4 linked regions of the Danio rerio genome follow. The protein of the gene in region 1 purifies or fractionates together with the protein of each later gene. This does not show direct contact. Links are inferred from orthologs where the notes say so. Each region holds a gene or a part of one and is shown in the gene's direction. Other genes may lie near its edges. The genes, in order: atr, clspn, topbp1 and rpa2.

What was found.
Region 2: the proteins of atr (region 1) and clspn purify together in Homo sapiens (affinity purification with western blotting; 3 studies listed by BioGRID). This does not show direct contact. The link is inferred for Danio rerio from reciprocal best matches to the Homo sapiens genes ATR and CLSPN.
Region 3: the proteins of atr (region 1) and topbp1 purify together in Homo sapiens (affinity purification with western blotting; 8 studies listed by BioGRID). This does not show direct contact. The link is inferred for Danio rerio from reciprocal best matches to the Homo sapiens genes ATR and TOPBP1.
Region 4: the proteins of atr (region 1) and rpa2 purify together in Homo sapiens (affinity purification with western blotting; 3 studies listed by BioGRID, with this or other methods). This does not show direct contact. The link is inferred for Danio rerio from reciprocal best matches to the Homo sapiens genes ATR and RPA2.

What each region holds. Positions count from the first base shown.
Region 1 is NC_133177.1:18,765,135-18,770,315, reverse strand, and holds part of atr (serine/threonine-protein kinase ATR), read left to right. Parts: intron 1-989; coding exon 990-1,169; intron 1,170-1,254; coding exon 1,255-1,397; intron 1,398-1,982; exon of another isoform or gene 1,983-2,138; coding exon 2,139-2,236; intron 2,237-4,054; coding exon 4,055-4,287; intron 4,288-4,362; coding exon 4,363-4,497; intron 4,498-5,181. UniProt on the Homo sapiens protein: Serine/threonine protein kinase which activates checkpoint signaling upon genotoxic stresses such as ionizing radiation (IR), ultraviolet light (UV), or DNA replication stalling, thereby acting as a DNA damage sensor.
Region 2 is NC_133194.1:50,559,935-50,565,115, reverse strand, and holds part of clspn (claspin), read left to right. Parts: intron 1-1,855; coding exon 1,856-1,958; intron 1,959-2,055; coding exon 2,056-2,501; intron 2,502-4,135; coding exon 4,136-4,324; intron 4,325-5,181.
Region 3 is NC_133199.1:10,084,647-10,089,827, forward strand, and holds the end of topbp1 (DNA topoisomerase 2-binding protein 1), read left to right. Parts: intron 1-1,455; coding exon 1,456-1,617; intron 1,618-4,285; coding exon 4,286-4,423; 3' UTR 4,424-4,533; downstream 4,534-5,181. UniProt on the Homo sapiens protein: Scaffold protein that acts as a key protein-protein adapter in DNA replication and DNA repair. Composed of multiple BRCT domains, which specifically recognize and bind phosphorylated proteins, bringing proteins together into functional combinations.
Region 4 is NC_133191.1:4,959,932-4,965,112, reverse strand, and holds part of rpa2 (replication protein A 32 kDa subunit), read left to right. Parts: intron 1-1,725; coding exon 1,726-1,842; intron 1,843-3,139; coding exon 3,140-3,259; intron 3,260-5,181. UniProt on the Homo sapiens protein: As part of the heterotrimeric replication protein A complex (RPA/RP-A), binds and stabilizes single-stranded DNA intermediates that form during DNA replication or upon DNA stress.

The sequences.
Region 1 (5,181 bases):
TTAATCTAGTAATTTAATCCTTTCCTTTTTTTTCCATTTGTGAAGGTATTTGCGTTTTGCTGTAGCCTACATCCTGTGTGTATTAAGCAATGTTTAAGCGAGGCACATAACTCACGCGCTCTGCGCTGGGCTTTAGACCTCCTCATAGCTGGTCTATTGAACAGTGTATTTTAGTTCCCTAAATAGCAACGCTCCAGCAATGCTCCTTAACACACCCCCGTTTTTAGACTAGACCGCCTAGGGGCGCACATATGAGCGCAAATGCATTTGCTGTATAAACAGCCGGGTCTTTAACGTCAAAATGACTCTTGCGCCTATAGCTGAAACCAGCATACAACAGTTGCGTAGCGCCTTGCGCTGCATTGTGCCGGGTGTATGATAGGACCCTTAGTTTTTAGATTTTTTTTTTTAAGTTATGTTGAACAAAAATATATGTGTACAACTAAGGTCTGCTTGTTTTGACTCATTATTTAAAATATGTGGCTAAGAAATGACTACTTAGATTTTTTTTTTCTGCTGGGCCATTTAAAAAAAATCTTTAGTGTCTAGCTTTATTTAAGTCTGAAATGTTTTTCGTTGGGGTCTTAAAAAGACCTTAAAAAGTCTTTAATTTGACTTGGTGAAACTTGCTGAAACCATGCAATTTACAAATCTTACATTTCAATCCTGTACAAGAACAATGACAAATAATGCTAATTTCATTTCAGAAACCGCATTTAAATTTAATTTAAAATACTAGAGTGGAATTCAACACATTTTTAATAAGTTCTTTGAACATGACTGTTTAAAATTATCATTACTCTCATTTTTACTGTAAATGTTAAGTGTGGGTGAAATGTTACGTACAATAAGGACTTATATGGTGATATACATGCTGGGGATGTAAATAGTGCTTGATTTAAAATGTAAGAAGTCTTTGAAAATCTTTGAATCTGCTGTTCATGAATAATTGGGTACCTTGTATAAGGAAAGATGCTATTATTTTATAGGGTGATGTGCATCAAGCTCTGATAGTCCTGCAGAAAGGAGTGCAGCAGTGTTTTCCTGATGACCAGACGCTCACAGACCCCAAGAGAATCCAGGTCAAGGGAAACGCCATGCTGCTGGTGGGCAGATATATGGAGGAGACAGCCAACTTCGAGAGCAATGCGATTATGAAAACCTATAAGGTATTTCAGTTAGTCACAAATGAAGTCAAATGTCAGTACTGGAGTCAGATTCATCAGAAAGTGACTTCTGTTCTTTTTAATGCAGGATGTTACGACTCTGTTGCCAGAATGGGAGGATGGAAACTTCTACCTGGCCAAATACTATGACAAGGTGATGCCCATGGTCACTGACAACAAACTGGAAAGACAAGGCAACCTCATCCGTTATATTGTCACTTATTTTGGAAAGTAAGATGTTTTCTTTTGATAATGTTTATATTGTGATTTTTATTTAGCAATTCTGCAAAAGTTTACAAAACAAATCAAATTTTGTGTGTGCTTTTATTTTAGTTTTATTAATTTAATAAAGTTGTGTACATGTGAAATATTTCTATGGCAAGTAACTGAGTAACTTTTTTTAAAGTAAAAAAAAATTATTTAACCCTCCTTTTGACCTAAATCTTTATTTTTGTTTTTTAATGATTTCTGTACACATTTAGGGTATAATGGGTGTCATTTAGTCCATTTTTTACCCGCCAGCTACAGTATAAAACTATTTTTTTTACCATGAAAACCACTAGCTCACACGGGCACACACACCCCCAAACACAAACAATAAGAATCTACTGCTTTAACCTTTATTAATATTCTCTTGCTTTAATGTTTAACATTCATGCATGTACTTTTAGCAATTGATAAACATGCCACTTCACATAAGTCAAAAACACGTGGTGACCTCTAATTAAACATTCATGAAAAACTCATGCACAGAGTTCGTTTCATCATGCGAAATAGATTTGAGGAATAAAATTAAATTTTGATTCTTTATTTTAGAGGTTTCATAAAGATGAGTCAACAGAAGGAAGGTTGAACAGTGTATACATCATTTCATACAACAGGAGGATTAAGTTTTATGGTTTTAGTTTTAGTCTATTTGAATGAATTGTGTGAAAGTTAGATTTAGAGATGCTTGTTTTGCTTGTTTCACAGAGCTTTGCAGTTTGGCAATCAGTACATCTATCAAGCCATGCCGAGAATGCTTACGTTATGGCTGGACTTTGGTGCCAAGGTTTATGAATTTGAAAAAGGTAAGGCACAAAAATGGTTGATGTAGTGTATGGAAAAATTAAACAATTAAAATATTTATTTGCATACCTCCATCAGTGGTTTGTGTTGAACAGTCAATTTGAAATGATAAACATTGTAGAGAGTGTAAAATTGCAATTTGTCAAAATAGTATACTCATTATATTAAATGGACAATATGTATTATAAAAAATAGATATAGTTTCATTAAAATATTCAAAAACAGTAGAACACTGTTATATATTTTTCTGACGTATTTATATTAGCCCAAATGTTTTCAAGAAAGGTTTTTAATTTTTACTTGGGCAATTATATTAGGCAAGCAATATAAGCAATACCCATGTTACTTATTAATCCATTATAAATGCATTTTTATTTATTTATAAATCTGTTAAGGTTTTTTCTTAGACATTCATTATAAAACAATTAATTGGTTTTAAAAATACACCTGCAAAGGTATCAAATTTTATGCAATTTGTAATGTCCAAATTTTATTGTTGAGAGGAAAACTGCACACAGCAATACTGGATTTCCATTAGTAAATGAAGCCTTTACGATCATTAAAACGCTAAAGCAAGTCCTTTAAAATTAAATGTTCATTACGGAATGATAAATAAAACAACAATTATAGAACAATATATACACAATATTATTGTGGCATTCACTGTAACCAACATTATATCTATTAACTATAGGCAAGCCTAACAGAATTTATTCTTTCCAAAGCTACTAGAAACAATGTTACTGAAACTAGCAGTGTGTGGAAAATACACTTAAAGAGATGAAAAATTTCTCTTAATTTACTTATCCTTTTCCAGAGATGGGTTGTGGCTGAAATGGCATCCGCTGTGTAAAAACGTGCTGGATAAGTTGGTGGTTCATTCCGCTGTGGCGACCCCAGAATTATAATGGGACTAAGCCAAAAAGAAAATGAATGAATGAATTTACTCATCCTTACTACAAACTCATTTAAGTTTCTTTTTTTCCCCCTTTTGAGCACAACATATTCTGAAGAATGTTGAAAAACTCTTCAGTATATTTTGTTTTGTCTTCAAATTATATATTTTTCTTTTTTTGTTTTATTGGAAATAGAAACTCCAAAGACTTTAATATATTGTGTTTCATTAGACTGCACTGAGCTGCCTTATAACACAACCTAAAATGTATTTAATATGATAAAACATCTCTTCTTCTTTTCTATGTGATCATGACCAAAAAAACCAAAGTGCTCAACCGTGGCATAATAAAAGTGGATTGCATTCGTCTCTCATCAGCAATGGGGTATATGGACACAGACTTTTAATTTCAGTCAGTCAGCCCCAGGGCTTTCGGTTAATTCTCATCCCATGCAAAATTGCTGGGATCTGATTTCTTAAAAAAACAGTGATCTTCACTGCCTGGCTGACATATACGATATAAAGTGGGTATCAGAGTAAACCCAGAGTAAAAAAAGAAGCACTGCATTAAATTAGATTTTTCCATGCCATGTCTTTAAAATATAGAAATTAATTTTACCCTAATATTTTGAATGGATTTTCTGCACTGGCCTGAAAAACACTAGCTGTGCATATATATCACATTGCTTCAGCGAGCTTGTTTCGCTTTGACAGCTTTCAGCCTTTAGCACATCCACAAACATGATTTTCGCAGGAGTCGCACAGAATGTAATCTTGAATATCAATTCATACGGAATCTTTCCAAATGTGCAATGATTTTTAAAAATAAATTCTAGTGATTTAAAAGGATTTTTTTGTCAGTCTTAAGACTCACTGCTCTAGTAATCTTCGATACAGCAGTTTCTTCCCACTTTTTGTCTTTAAGCTGGCCGCTCTGACCGAGTCCAGATGCGTACTGAGCTTACGAAGATCAATTCCGTGATCAGCGACCACACTAGCAACCTCTCGCCCTACCAGTTCCTCACAGCCTTTTCCCAGCTCATCTCCAGAATCTGCCACTCCAGCAACGAGGTCTTTGCTGTTCTCATGGAGATTGTGGCCAAAGTATTCTTAGCTTACCCGCAACAGGCCATGTGGATGATGACTGCTGTGTCAAAGGTCAGAAATCTTCATTTATTACAATATCTAATGCATACAGGTATAAATAATGTTTCGTTTATGCTTCTTTTTTAGTCCTCCTATCCGACTCGAATGAACAGATGTAAGGAGATCCTGAAGAAGGCCATCAGTCTGAATGACTCATTTATGAAGTTTATCGGAGATGCCAACAGACTGACTGACAAGCTGTTGGAGCTCGGAAATAAACCAGTAAGACAGACTTTACCACTAGAGAGAAAGTGATTTCGAAAGAAACAGCTTTTGTGGATTTATTAATCTTTTATATTCAGCTTCCCCCTCAGGCATTCATTACAAAATTAATTAGCTCTAAAATTAGCTTTGAATATGCACTGTATTTTCTGGAAAGCATCTCACACCACGTCTGAACTAAAACACAGATTAGATAAACGTTTGAATAGGTTACATATGACTTTTTTTTTATTAAAAATAAACATTAAACAGGCAAGATCATAAAGACATTTATTCAAATACTTTTTATTGATTTTCATTATAAAACAATACACACAACCATATATGTAATGTGAAGAGGCTGCTGACAAGGGAGGTGTGAATCCAAACACAGGTTTATTAAACAGAATGGTCAGGCAAGCAATGGTCATTACAGGAACAAACAGATGTATTCGGGCAATCCAGAGTCGTAGTCAAATATTAGGGGAATGGTCAGTATAGGCAGGTAGCAGGCAGCATAAACAAATAAAAAAGACGATGGTCAAAAATATGGCAAGGCAAGGAAAACGCGTTAACAAGTTCACAATTCACTATAACAAGACTCAGCACTGTGTGTGTGTGTGTGTGTGCGTGCGTGCGTGCGTGCGTGCGTGCGTGCGTGCGTGCGTGCGTGCGTGTGTGTGTGTGGGCTCTATTTTAACGGTC
Region 2 (5,181 bases), on another chromosome or scaffold:
TTTAGCACATCTTGTCAGCTTCAAATATCTATCAAAACTACTACTCTATTGAACAATGTAGAAAAAGGCATAGCAGCTTTAATTGTCCATCAGAGTGAACTACTGCCTTCATTTCATTAGTTTTATATTTAATTTGTTTATTAGAGTGGTAGTTCGTTCCGATTGACATTTGAAGCTGACAAAATGCGCTACCCCTGTTTTTACACCTTTCTTTAAGGAGGTAGTTCATTCTGATAGACATGATGTGCTAACCCTGTTTTTTTAGATGAAATATGACAGATTGAGCTACCGGTAGCACATTCTGATGAGGTAGCACAGATCGTCAGAGCACTGTGTACATGAGCAGCCAGACACAAGAACCATTTTCCCCCATGCTATTTCCCCTCTGAACCATCTCTATTTTCCTAATATGCACCTTAAACTGTATAAAGCAAAAAAAAAATGTATTGCTTGTTATTAAAGGGCCATGAAACCCCCTCGTTTCAGCAGGGTATTTTTTACACCTCTACTTTGGAAAAAGTCAGAAAAGTGGGCGTGTCCAGCTCTGTTTAGGGGGGAGTGTCGGAGGAAGAAAAGTGGGAGGGTGTGGGAGTGTCTATTTGGGCACGCGCGAGTTTCAGTCAAAATACTCACACACAGGAGAAAGTGATGGTGTTTAACCTACATGGACATCTGTAGTCGAATTATTTGCCAAATGATTAAATGGTGGACTTTAACTGCAGTTTGGCTCTTTCATTCAGGGAATTCATTCATGTCCCTCACAACAAACGAGATATTTGATTCGAGGATCTGCTCTAAGCGTGTATTTTTCATGCAATGTTTGATACCGCACGGCGAATGAGAGAAAAAAAAACCTCAGCATTTCCCGGAAACTTAGATGCACACGGCAGGTAGCGTCAGAAAGCCGCGTGTGTTATTCCGGTCACTAAATGCGGTTAAAAACCCTACACGAGGTTAAAGTTTGGTTGTGGTCCTAACATGTTACGGTGCAATAATTAACTTAGTTTGATACGAACAAACTGAAAAAACAAAGAGCACTGGTCGCTCACTTACCAAATCTGTAGAGACAGAACAATCCACAGCATCTAGAGCCGCGTCTTTATGAAGAGAATACTACAAGCGAATCCGATCTCAGCGTTTGCAGATGAGAACAGCTCTCAGGTAAACAATAATCCTCCTTAGAGACGTAAGCTATTGTTGTCGAGCGTCGCGTACACTGTTAATCCACACGTGAGTCCAGCTGCGCTCTCACAGAGAGAAAAAGAAAACGAAACTTAACAGCAGCAAACTATAAAAGCAACACTTCACGCTTGTTTTGCCAACACAACGTGGCGTCTATGTCGTGTAAACACAGTAATGAATATTAATGAAGTTGCACAATAGAGCGCGCTGATTGGTTTGAACCAAGCTTTACTCATGCATTAATGCATCACACTGTAAGATGTAATAAGACACACTCTGGCACAGACGTCCAGTCTGCACGCTGGAATACACGCTATTATCTCATGACCGTGACGCAGCTTCAAAAATTCGTTTCTAACAGGAAGTACGAATTTGCTTGAAATAACGCAAAAACAACCAATTTACACTTTTTAGTGAAATATAGGTGTCCTAATAGTGTTTTTAGCAGTGTGGGACACATACGACTGTCAACAGCTCAAAAAATGTGTTTTGGTGTTTCGTGACCCTTTAATGTGCTTTTATTTAAGTTTCCACTGTGTTTGAACTTTTTGTACTGCCTCTACTGGAAGCTCCTATCACTGACAAAGTACTTGTGTGTTCCTAACACACTTGGCAATATAGCGCTTTCATTCTGATTCTCCTTCATGATGGTCTCTCTCTTAAACATTTGCAGAGTCCTTGCTCAATCTGCCGTATCACATGTCTGAACCCAAAAGTATTGATCAGTTCTTCAAGAGAAGACCACGTCCAGAAGGTCGTGGGATGGCTTTGCTCAAGTATGGCATTGAAATATCATCTCTATTACCAATGAATCCCCCCCCTTATGCATTCATATGAAGAAATGTATTGTTTACTTTTTCACCTGTCCTCAAGGTCTGCCAAGTACCAGGCTTGTATTTTAGAATCCACTACTCCTCCAGATCAAACCACAGCACCCCAGCAGGACACAAACCCTCCACCAGAATCATCTCTGGAGAACCAGACCTCCATCACACCAGACCCAGCCTCCAGCACACACCAAGATGGTCCTGCTAATGATGGAGAAGCTCAGGTACATGGTGAAATAATCACTGACAAACCCAATCCTGAGGATGAAGAGAAGAACAGTCCCATTGAGGAGAAAACAACTGAGGGACATCCAGAGCAAGAAGAGCAGCAGGTCTCGGTGGATGCAGCCCAGACTGAACCTCAGGTGCTCAAACCTCGGAAGGATAAACTGGCCAGATTGAGGGAGCTTGGTCTGGATCCTCCTCCTGTGGTGAAGTTGTCTGCAGATGAAGGGGCTTTTGTCCAGTTGGAGGCGCCTCAGGAAAACCAAGGTACGATTTTACATAGGGAATATCATTATCTGTTGTTCTGCAATATGGAAGAGCGCTCGTTTTTGTGATTGATTTAGAACTCTAAAAACAACTGTTTATGACCGTACACAAAAAGTAGAATAAGATAATAACAGGGTTCATACGGTCCTGGAAAAGTCATGGAATTTTGGCAAGGCATTTTCCAGGCCTGGAAAAGATTTGGAAAAATAAATAAACCCAAAATAACTCTATCAAACCTCTTCAACTGCTCCAGAACGCAGCAGCACGAGTGGTCTTTAATGAACCTAAAAGAGCACATGTCACTCCGCTGCTCATCCGTTTGCACTGGCTGCCAGTTGCTGCCTGCTTCAAATTCAAAGCTCTGATGTTTGCTTAAAAAGCAACTTCTGGCTTTGCTCCTTCTTATCTGGTCTCTAGAATCTATGTGCCCTTTAGAAACTTGCGTTCTGTGAATGAACGTCGCCTCGTGGTTCCATCCCAAAGAGGGAAGAAATCACTTTCCCGAACTCTCGCATTCAATCTGCCCAGTTGGTGGAATGAACTCCCTAACTGCATCAGAACGGCAGAGTCACTCGCTGTCTTCAAGAAACCACTAAAAACTCAACTGTTTAGTCTCCACTTTCCTTCCTAATCTGCAATTGCCTCTCTGACTCCACCGCTAACTGTGCTACAAATTTTTTTTTTTTTTTTTTAAATTACTAATGTTTTTTTCCAAGAGTTCAGTCACAGCAGGGTGAATTAGCCTTCAGCTACTAATAGCGCCCCCCGCTGCTGGAATCAGCTTCCAGAAATGATCAGATGTGCTCCAACATTAGGCACATTCACATCAAGACTGAACACACGTCTGTTTAGCTGTGCCTTTGCTGAATGAACACCGACAGGTCGCACTATATGTCTTTCTTTTCTTTTTCATTGATTTATAACCTGTTTTAACACATTTTAATCTGTTCTTATATTATTTATTTTTATTACACTTGTCTCTTTTATTCCTTTCCATGTAAAGCACTTTGAATTGCCACTGTGGGTGAAATGTCAACATTATCTCCAGCAGAAAATATATCTAAAGATGCCATTTTAAATTGCAAAAAATCTGTTTTTGAAACAAATTACAACAGCAGAAGTCAATAATTAATTTAGCCTGACATGTTTACTCTTCCAAAATATTTAAATGTTTCTCAAAATGAAATATAATGTGTTCAAAAGTGAAATTTTTTTAGTTTTTAACCCAAACATTTAAAAAGAACCAATATCAGAGCAGTAACCACAATACAGTAAAACAGTGATATTTTTCCCAAGGTTATCATACCGTCAGAATCTCATACTGGCTCATGCCTAGCTAGGACTGGCTGTTAGACTTTTTAAATTTCTTTAAAATCTGAGCTAAATTATCCATTATTGCTCTTATAATGGCTATTAAATCATGAAAATTTATATTCAAACTATTTTAGTTTTATGCAAAGCACATCAGTGTCTAGTCTTTTCTTTCATTAAAAAATTGAATGGAAATGCCATGGAAATTCAGCTTTTTGTCATTGAATGTCAGGGAAATTGGCTTCAAATGAAAATTTTTAATGTTTTAATTTTCTTTTGCACTTTTCAACAATTTATGATGGTTGATTGTGTGTCTGTTTCAGCTCTGAAAGCACTACAGGAGCGCTTCATGAAGCACTTCCAGCCCGCACCTCGTCCTAAACGCGAGCGCACATTACAGCTTAATGTGGTGAGGAAAGACAGCAGTTCATCAGGACAGGAGGAGCTGCACTCTGAATCCATCACAATCACTGTCAAGGAGGGAGAAGATGAGCCAGCCAATGTCAAACCAGGTACAGTCAATGCATTTACTCACCCGCAGGTAGGCATGGGACGATAACCGGTTTCAAGGTTTACCATGTTAACTGTTTTAAAAAGATTAGTTGTTTCTGTGGTATATGTAATTTAAAAAAAATATGTGTTGTCAAAGAAAAGCACGCTCCACATTAAAGTCCACTGGTCTCCGGTATTTGTTTTATTTGAAAATGACTTGTATTAGAGCAGTGATCACAATACTGTCAAATAATTTTCTTGAAGGTTATCATTACCTCTGGCCATTCAAGGTGTAGGTCACTTTATTTATTTATTTTTTGTGCATTATATTTTTAGCCTAAATTGTTGTTCTTTGAGATGCTTATAATAGAAGTCAGCAGGTGGCAGCACTGAGATAATAATTAATACCCTCTAGGGCTGGGTGATAAATAGTAGGAGATTAATATGTTGTTTTTCATGTGCAGTTTGTCAGTAAAGCCATTTGTATTAAACGTTCTGCATGTTTTTAGATGGAGCAGGATTGGCTACTATACTAGAGCCGGGTGATATAGATATGGCGTCCCTGATTTATTTTTTCCACAAAGTATTTACAATTTAAAATAATTTTTTTTCCCCACTAAGAAAAATTAATTATTAATATTAGATTATATAATTATAGGAAATTAAAATGCTAAAGAAAAAAAATCCCTCATCATTTAAAGATCAAGTTTAACAAACTCTGTTTACAATTGCTTACAAGACTTTGATGATGATGATGATGATGATAATAATGTCAATTAAATCAGCAGGATCAAATTAAATTAAATTATCAAGTTAAATTTAATAAAGTTACGATGATTGTAAACTCATAATAATTGTTAAAGGGACTTTTTAAAGA
Region 3 (5,181 bases), on another chromosome or scaffold:
AGAACATAAGATGTCATTTAGAGTTTTTTTTTTTTTTTTTTTTTTTTACATCTGAACTCTTCATATGTAGATACTAACTTGTGGATTTAGGTGAAATTTGTAAAGATAATAGGCATGTGCTAAGAGAAAATGTTTTGTGAATACAAGACCAGGCTCTAGTTTTGTATAAGTCTTTAAGTAGTTTGACTTGAGGGGGGGCATAACCTAAGGGCCAAACACAATCTGAATTTATTCACTAGTTATGCATAGAAACAAGAAATAAAATCTGTGGATTTATGCAGATTTTGTGTACAAGTCCAGGAACTAAAAGCATAACATACATAAAAAATAAAATGAATTCTCAAATTTTACTTGTTTGGTAAACTCTCTCATGTAACATCCGCTAAAATACAAACAATATTACTTGGATTTTTTTTTGTACATAAATCATCTGAACGTTTTCACTTTAGTCAATAATATTACTCAAATAATACTACATTTATGGATTATTAGATTATCAGACATATTGGCACAAGCAAATCCCTCTGTGGTGAGTGAGGATTACTGTGATAATGGCAATAAATGCTGCTTTGTTCACGCTTTGTGCATCTCATGTTCTGGTTTTACTTTTTTGGATTGAGAAAGAATATTACTGCAATCTGCGTTAACAGAAAGATACAAGATGTGCTCTGGTTTCAGCCTGCAGCCATCCCTTTGTTGTGTTCACACACAGCATTTTAGTCCAGATGGGACCAGCCGTGGTCGACACGAAACCACAACATATTTGATTTTCATCAATGCTAGTTCTTTGGCATAGGCTTGCTGTGTCCTGGTCTTTACATTTATTAAGAAATGGTTGCTTAAGGGACAACTTAGATAATTAAGGTAGAATAACTAACGGCACCCATACATTCATTTAGTTCAGTGTTTCTGAACCATGTTCCTGGACGAGCATCAGCTCTGCACATATTTCATGTCTCCTTAACCAAAGACACCTGATTCAGATCAGCTCATTAGCAGAGACTGAAAGACCAGAAATGTGTGTGACAGACAAAGAAGACATCCAAAACATGCAGTGCTGGTGATCCTTCATGAACATGGTTGAGAAACACTGGTTTTGTTGACCCTTATGTCTTCTTTCTTGCCATTCAAGTTTTCCTGAGATTACCCTTAACCTTATTACTCAGGGATTTCTTAACTTAAAACCACAGTTCACTCAAAAATCTAAATTTATTCACCATTTACCTCCTCAAGTCATTCCATGCTATTTTTAGTTTCCCTTTTCTGTTAAATACAAAAGAAGATATTTCAAATACATTCATAGCATTTGTTAATGGATGTGAATGGTTATATTGTATTTTTCAAAACTCATCAAGTTTGAAGGACAAGTAAACAATGTGACTTTGCAGGCTGTTGTTGCTCATTCCTTACTTTGTTGTTTATTTTTCTTGTATTTCACCCTTTCCTGCTACACAGGTGCTGCCAGATCCTTCTCCCTCACTGTTTAAAGAGACCACTCACCTGTTTGTGGATTTCAGTCGGTTAAAACCAGGTGATGTTAGAGTGGACATCAGTGAGGCTTCAGCTCACGGGGTCAAATGTCTTAAACCAGAGTACATTGCTGATTATCTCATGCAGGTAAGAGGTGCTATTTGTGATTCAAACCAGACAAACACAACATTTTTACTTGTTCTTTCACTTTGATAAAAAAAAGTGTTATTATCAATAATGATTTTGTGCTTGTTTTTAAGGCTGCACAAAAATAAATTCATATTTCTATGCAATCAAGAAAAAAAAAACGCAATTTGTTAATCACAAATGAATTGCATCGAATAAAATTTATTTTAATGTCTCTTTTATTAATTTTCAATAGCAGGTTTCCCAAGGATCCTTAAAAAGTCTTAAAATGTCTTAAATTAAAATACGGGAAATTAAGTTATTAAATTGTCTTAGATTTACCGTAAAGTGGCTGTAAGTATTACATTTCCAGCTGGTGTGCTCAGTGACGATAGGGAAGCACAGTGGTCCACCGTGAAACATCTAATAGTTGATTAATATGTGTGAAACAGGAGAGAAATGACCGTCTCCGTGATTTATTAGCTTGTTACGGTAGGTCGGCTACAGATGCTTACGTCGGTCTACATCTGCATGCTGTCATAACGCGGGTGTCGAACCCGATGGGTTCGTACTTAATTTCTATCATTTTAGACGGGGTCGGGCTGGGCTTGGGCCTGAGCAGTAAATAAACGGTCATGTGATGGATTTCGATTTGCGCAAGAAAGTAATCAAATTGTTGTTTACATCCCTACAAAGGTGAAACAAATGATGGGAAAAAAAAGGAAAAGTCAAAAAGAGTGAATTTTGACTGCTGCTAGTTTAATAAGAGCAGTCATTCTAGCCACTAAGGTATTTCGGCAGTCGCTCATACACTGCGTATTAGGGTAGAGCACTAAACAGCAATGTACAGCGAGCTGAAAGGAAAAATGACGGGGTCACTTGCTACACTGAAACCGCTGTCATGAAAATTAAATGAATGTTCTTGACTGGTGGAAGATGAACAAACATACCTACCCAAAACATGCTAAATTAGCCAGATCAGTAGTGCATCCCGGCCAGTAGCAGCAGCAGTGAAAGGGTGTTTAGTGCTGCTCAGTGAGTGCAGGACTGCGCTAAAGCCATGTACAGTGAATTCAACAATGTTCCGCCAAAAAACACATCGCCTAATCTTGATGAGTAAAGGATTTTCAAATTATAACCAAATATTTAAATTAAATCATAAAATCATAATGTAGACAGAGTATATTGGCTAATGTTGGCCTTAATCTTTTATTATTCAGCTTCACTGTCGCCTTATTGCAGATTGTGAAGAGAAGTGACAAAACAATTCACACAGAGCCTTCATCTTAATTTCATGATTCTCAATTATCATTTATCATTTAATTTAATTTGTTAAGAAAGACTAATTTTTATTGGTGTGTTGGCCAATTAAAAGGCTTAGTGTATGTACCCAGGCTTATTAGAGTGCTAAGATGTTACGATGTTACAGAGGGCTTATTTTTTTTTTTTTTTTTGTTCCAACTTCCAAGTGGCCTATAGCCTATGTTATAAATAAGTAATGCTAACACATATAAAGGACTCACTTATGAAAAAAGGCAAAAGAGCTGTGTGCATGTGCACATTTGAATAATGTTGGCTCTAAACGTGTTTGGGCTTTTTAAAAGCTGTCAGTCAATATGTACTTGTCGGGATTTGGGCCCTATCGGGTCTAACTTTAATGGCCCGATTACAGCTTTAGTTTAGACGCCACCTCACAGACAGCTATAACAGTTTTATTTCACCACCAGACATCCAAAAGGCAGGCACTGTGGGTTATATCCATACTGTGACGAGGCACAATTCATTTAAATCTAATGAGGACATTAAATTAAGCAGCCTATTCCAAAGAAATTATGAAATTTTTTGGTCTCAAACCATATTTGTTGAGGTCTTAAAAAGCATTAGATTTTACTTTTAAAATAGTGCAAGAACCCTGAATAGGCATTATGTATAAATTTATTGTTTTGTCTGAAATAGAAATTGCAACTAAGTGGCTGTGAATGATTTTTCATCATTTATTCATTTAAATAATTTTAATGAATGACTTATAGAAAAAGGAAACTGCTGTATAATCAGGGCTTGGCATTAACCCCCGCCAAATGCAGGTAGATTTCAGCTGTGGCGAGTTAGACAGACACTCCCACTAGCCACTTTTGTCATAATTTCCAAATTGCCAGTGCTGGCTCGTCACTAAAAATTTTAATTTTAGTTTATGATCGTTTGTCAATATTCGTGCAAATGTGGATTTGCAATATCTCGCATCTTCAATACCTATAACTGTATCAAGGCTCCACCATGCACTGAGTTGCTCTTCTGCATCATGATAGTCACCAAATAACTGTGAAATATTTAAGTAAATGTGTTAAACCAACAGGCCTAATTAAATTCAGCCTTTATTCATTTCTATTGTAATATTTAAATGCTAATTAAAAAAAAAAATACTATTAAAAAGTTTAGGAAAAGTAATCTGCCTGATGGTATTTATAGTTCTTTTATAATTGCATAATTACTAAGCAATAAGTGAGTTTGGTTTTATGTTGGTTAATTGTGCAGTCCAGCACCGGATATTAATGTACTAGAGGCAGTCATGTGGAAATCCCATCACAGCGATTCCTTGTTCCATTGCTCTGAATAGTTTTTTTTTTTTTTTTTTTTTTTTAGAATTATTAGCTATGTTCATTAAATGCGTTTGAATATTTTCTTTTTCCAGGAACCGTCTCCTTCAATGGACGCTTACTATCTTCCTGGAGCAGCTGCCGATGAGACAGAGAAGGTTGTAGATGCATCTTCACGCAAACGGAAAGCCTCTGGGGACATGTCCACACTGAAGAAAAGCCGTATGAGATGAAATCATCCTATTTCAAGCTCAAATTAAATATTTAAGTCATTTTATTCAATTACATTGTACATGAATTCTGTTTTGTCAATAAAAAATATATATATAATTCAGAATGTGAAGCATGGTCCAAGAATACTGAAGTCTTTCAGGATCTGGCCTGATTTTAAAAGAAAATAGGAAAAACAGTTTGATTACAGGCCCATAGCCAGTGGGGGGGTTCGTGTGGTTCAGAAGACCCACCCCTCACTGACAAATGTCCAGAATTTGTCCCATACATGAGCTTATTTGTCCTATTTTAACGGCTATGCCATCATAATTTGTGAAAATAACTCATCGATAAAGGCTTTAAACAACACACCCCAAAACAGCAACCCGTGTACACGCCTCTAAATTTACACTTTTTAACACAGCATAATAACCATATCTGAATTGCGTTTTGATCTGAACCTACATTGGCACACTCAGAAGAACCATAATATTAGTATTAAATCTCAAAAAAGGGCTAAAATATGTGCCCTTTAAGACAGAGAAGAATTTGACATGAGTGAAGTCATCTTTCACTACTGACTGACTGTGTTGTTGTTAAAAATAGTGAAAACATTTTACAAGTAACTTTTAGTCAAAATTTTGGACATTTTTCTTGAAAGAAAATGTCCAGTAAAAAGGTGTTAAGCACCTAAAGTTAATTTTGAAGTATAGAAAAATAAATTTGTATACTAATTAGGCAATTGTTGCAATCAATATTTTTTATGTACTTTTTGTAAGAG
Region 4 (5,181 bases), on another chromosome or scaffold:
CTAAAACAACCATCCTGGATGTGATTGATCTCAATTATTCCATGGCTACTCGCCACAAAACATACAAATTAGATAGAAGACATTGTTTTGAGCCATAATAGTTTATTCATTATTTAATTAAATGCTAAGCAGACAGAAGCGAAACTGGTTAAATGGAGAATATACTAACCTATGTATTATTCATTTCGAAGACACGACCAAACAGTCAAAAACCACAACCTGACACACAAGCAGATACATATGAACTTCATTCTTTAATTAAAAGCAAAGCTGACGAAAACAGCTGAATGGAGCATACACTAACCCCACATAATATATTTAGTCACAAGGTGGTGCCAAAGAGTCAAAAACAGCAGTGTGGCATAAGCATATAAATACAGATGTGAATTTATTCACTGACGGTCAAGATGATTTGATGGAACCACATTTATTTATTTATAACTTATTTACGGTGTCGCCTGTGAAAAAAAAATCACCTATTCTGATCCTCAAACACTGGAGCTGATTGGTGTTGTCAACGTCGAGGCAAAGCATTTACTTGTGTAACTTTTACAAATTATCTTGTCATAATCACTGAAGCTGTTGTTTATATTAAGAGAATTCACACAAAAAACACAAGGCGCCATGTAGCACTAAAATCAAACTTCACACATGAACTAAACACTTGTATATGCACATGTGAATGCTTCTGAATGCTCAAATGCTTATGAAAAAGTCTATAATGTTTACATGCATTAATGTGAAATGCAGACTGATATCTATTGTTACTTAGCATGTACATACAAACCTTTAAATTGCACATGTCTTTAAAACAGTCATGCATGCAACCTTTTTACTTGCATTTATTAAGTATAATTGAACTTAAAGAGCAATGAAACACCTCTTCCAGTTCAAGTACAGCAGGTCTTTTCCCCCGTCTATTCCAACCATTAGTCCTGCAGGTGATTTGGAGAATTTAAAATGTGTGCGAACACAGCAGCACAGATATAGGCGATGTGTCTGAATGGTAACAAACTCAACTGATAAAAGACAAAGTCCGTCATTCTCCAATTCTCCTACAGCTCTTCTGACAAAAATGCTTGCTGCACACAAACAGGTTGCCTGTATCAGCCCTTGACAGAATAAGAGGAAAACCATGCAACAAACCGTGTGGATCATGGAAACAAACACATGCCACTCTTCATAAGCACCTAAATACTGCCGTGTGCCGTCTCACAGCTTGGCAGGTCTGACCGTATTAGTCTGTCATCGGAAAGCACATGCAGTATTAATAATTAAGAAGCAGGGTCTTCTCATAGGATAAGAAAACTCCACTACAAATAATAATGAGAAACTCACGCATCATCACTGGACAGGCAGATTGGTGCTACGTCACCGATTTCTGATCCCGCCCCAATAATGATTTTAAGCTGAAATTAGCTGACAAACGCTCAAAATGATCCAGTTTTATTCATGATTAAAGCTGATGGGTGCTAACGTTTTAAATGACGCACACACACATTGCATTTATGGAATAATCATGCACACATTTAAACCTTTCTTTAACACACATCTATAAAAGACTCAATAAAATATTACAGGAAATACTGTGATAAATCCCTTGCTCTGCTACACATCATTCGGGAAACACTTGAAAAAGAAAACAAAATTCACAATTCACTTTAACTGTATTAGTTCTGGTTTAATCTGATTGTCCTTCACGAATAGTTCTGATTCTCCTTGCAGAATAACAGGTCTTTGGTGGCGTTCAGCGTTCGAGTGCTGGAGGACATGAATGAAGTGACATCGCACATGCTGGAGGTTGTGAACGCTCATCTCCAGCAGAGCAAACCACAGAACATGGTGAGACTCCAGCACCTCCTTCTCATGCTACACTTCTGCTTTTCTTTCGCACAAAATGCAAAGAAAGTGGTTGATGGTTACAAACTCAACACAGAATTCAAGCATGTTCAAACCTTGTGTATCGTAGATTCAATTTCAAAGCATTAATTATCAACTGGTTATATTTGGGTCATGAGACAATATGCAGCATCTGTATATACAGTTAAAGACAAAGTGATTAAGGAGATGATTTACATTTTCAACATAATAGTTTTAATAACCAATGTTTTATGCAGGGGATTCCTTTCCAGCTGCAACCCTGTACTGGGAAACACCCATACATACCCATTTACACACTACAGCCAATTTAGTTTATTCAATTCACTAATGGCGCAGGTTTTTGGACTGTAGGGGAAACCGGAGCACACGGAATAAACCCACGCTAACACAGGGAGAACATGCAAACTCCATACAGTAATGCCAACATTGTGAGGCGACAGCGCTGACCACTGAGCCACCGTGCAGCCATGCTAAATACAATTGATTGTTTTTTTTTTTTGAATGATTTGCTATATTTAAATAACAAACCACCCAAGCCTTTTCCGCTCTGAGTCCTTATAAAGAATCCGTTTATTAAATGCATAATTTAAGGGGTATCCCAATTCTCTTTAGCTTGAAAGGGAACACTATGATAAAAAAAAAATATATATATATTTATTTTTATATATATATATATATATATATATATATATATATATATATATATATATATATATATTTTTTTTTTTTTTTTTTTTTTTTAACAAAAGTACAGTTCCCAAATTTTTCAGCCTGACCCCCCAAAATAACAATTTCAGTGACTCACGACCCCCGCCATCTCCGAAAGTGGTTCTAAACATACAAACAGTGCACATACACCAATAGGCCTAAATAAACACAAGCACATTGACAACATAAACAGTCTAACAACCATTTAATATTTATTATTTGTCATTTATTAATTAGTCTTTAATATCAACCTCATCTAATATGGCTGGTGGGTGCAATGTTTACTGCACAAGTCTATTATTGGTTTAACTTTGGAGACTTGGAGATCATCATCAATGTTCAGTTGTATATGATTTAAAAAGATAGATATTTAAAATTAAAATAAAAAACATTTTATTTTAATGTATAGCAGTTCATAAAGGTGGCAAAGTTTGCTATGGTACTGTAAAATCAATCTGACACTATTTCTGTGTGGTTAATATAATGGAAACATGACAGGGGTCACAATAACTGTTCTTATAATGTAATATAATGTGTTGTGTCTTTATAGGGAGGTGGTGGAGGGATGATGCCAGTGTCTCATACCAGCATGAATAGTATGGGCACCACAGGAGGCTATTCTGGTGCTAACATGATGCTAGTCAATGGCTTGAGTGCCAACCAGAACCAAGTGAGTAAACATTACAAACATATTTGTATTCACATCTTCCACCTTTATATATTATATTTGCAGTTATGGGTTGCACTTTCTGTTTAACCAAAGGTGCTCTAAGCTAGTTTTGAACAGCAGAGGGCACTCTAGGCCTGGCCCGGATTGGCTAATTGGGAGGACCAGGAGACGTTTTTTGACCATGAGGGCCGTTGTCCCTAGCTGCTTGCACTCTCAGCAGTCGCACTTTTTTCATTTATTTATTTATTTGACCATAGCCTCATTCTTTTGATTCATTATTTTGCTGCAGCTCCGCTCTTCTTATTTATTTTCTCGCAGCACCGTGAGCAGAATGCAGCCTGCAGGGTAATGATGATGTAACTATCATTCAACCCCAAACAGCGGCACTTATAGTGAAAATAAGAATTTGAATAATTAATATTAATGAATATTACACCTGCTCAATGAAAATCAGATGATTCACTACATTAATATATCCAACATAACTTGATCAGAAATCTAAAATGGGGAGAAAAAGATTAAACCATCAATAGAAAGCAATACTGTGGTTAAGAGTCTTGCAGGTCTTGAATATATATATATATATATATATATATATATATATATATATATATTTTTTTTTTTTTTCTGTCATTTTTATTGTTAAGACATATTATATTGTTAGGGTTGATAAACATTTGAAGTTTTAAAGCAGCTGTTTTCTTTAAAAAGACATGATAGTGTCATTAGAAACTGAATTGGAAATGACGTTATTTTAATATACTGTAGTCAGTCGTGAACTGAGGTGGGCAGGTCTTGGGCTTGAAACTCCAGGTCTGAAAAGGAGTCCCACTCCGGCCCTGCTCTAGGCTAGTGTTTAACAGCTTATAGTGCTCTAGGCTAGTGTTTAACAGCTGATGGTAGTCTAGGCTAGTGTTTAACAGCTTATAGTGCTCTAGGCTAGTGTTTAACAGCTGATGGTAGTCTAGGCTAGTGTTTAACAGCTTATAGTGCTCTAGGCTAGTGTTTAACAGCTGATGGTAGTCTGAGCTAGTGTTTAACAGCAGATGCCGCTCTAGGCTAGTCTTCAACAGCTAATGGTGCTCTAGGCTAGTGTTTAATAGCAGATGCCGCTCTAGACTAGTGTTCAACAGCTGATGGTGCTCTAGGCTAGTGTTTAACAGCAGATGCCGCTCTAGGCTAGTGTTTAACAGCAGATGCCGCTCTAGGCTAGTGTTCAACAGCTAATGGTGCTCTAGGCTAGTGTTTAATAGCAGATGCCGCTCTAGGCTAGTGTTCAACAGCTGATGGTGCTCTAGGCTAGTGTTTAACAGCAGATGCCGCTCTAGGCTAGTGTTTAACAGCAGATGGCGCTAGGCTAGTGTTCAACAGCTTATGGTGCTCTAGGCTAGTGTTTAACAGCAGATGGCGCTGTAGGCAAGTTTTGAACCGCAGAGGTCACTCTAGGCTAGTGTTTAACAGCAGATGGCGCTCTAGGCTAGTGTTTAACAGCAGATGGCGCTCTAGGCTAGTGTTTAACAGCAGATGCCGCTCTAGGCTAGTGTTTAACAGCAGATGGCGCTAGGCTAGTGTTCAACAGCTTATGGTGCTCTAGGCTAGTGTTTAACAGCAGATGGCGCTGTAGGCAAGTTTTGAACCGCAGAGGTCACTCTAGGCTAGTGTTTAACAGCAGATGGCGCTCTAGGCTAGTGTTTAACAGCAGATGGCGCTCTAGGCTAGTGTTTAACAGCAGATGGCGCTCTAGGCTAGTTTTTAACAGCTGATGGTGCTCTAAGCTAATTTTTAAGAGCAGACGGTGCTCTAGGCTAGTTTTTACCAGCAGACGGCGCTCTAGGCTAGTGTTTAATTGTAGACGGTGCTCTAGGTTACTTTTTAACAGCAGATGGCGCTGTAGGCTTGTTTTTAACAGCAGACAACACTAG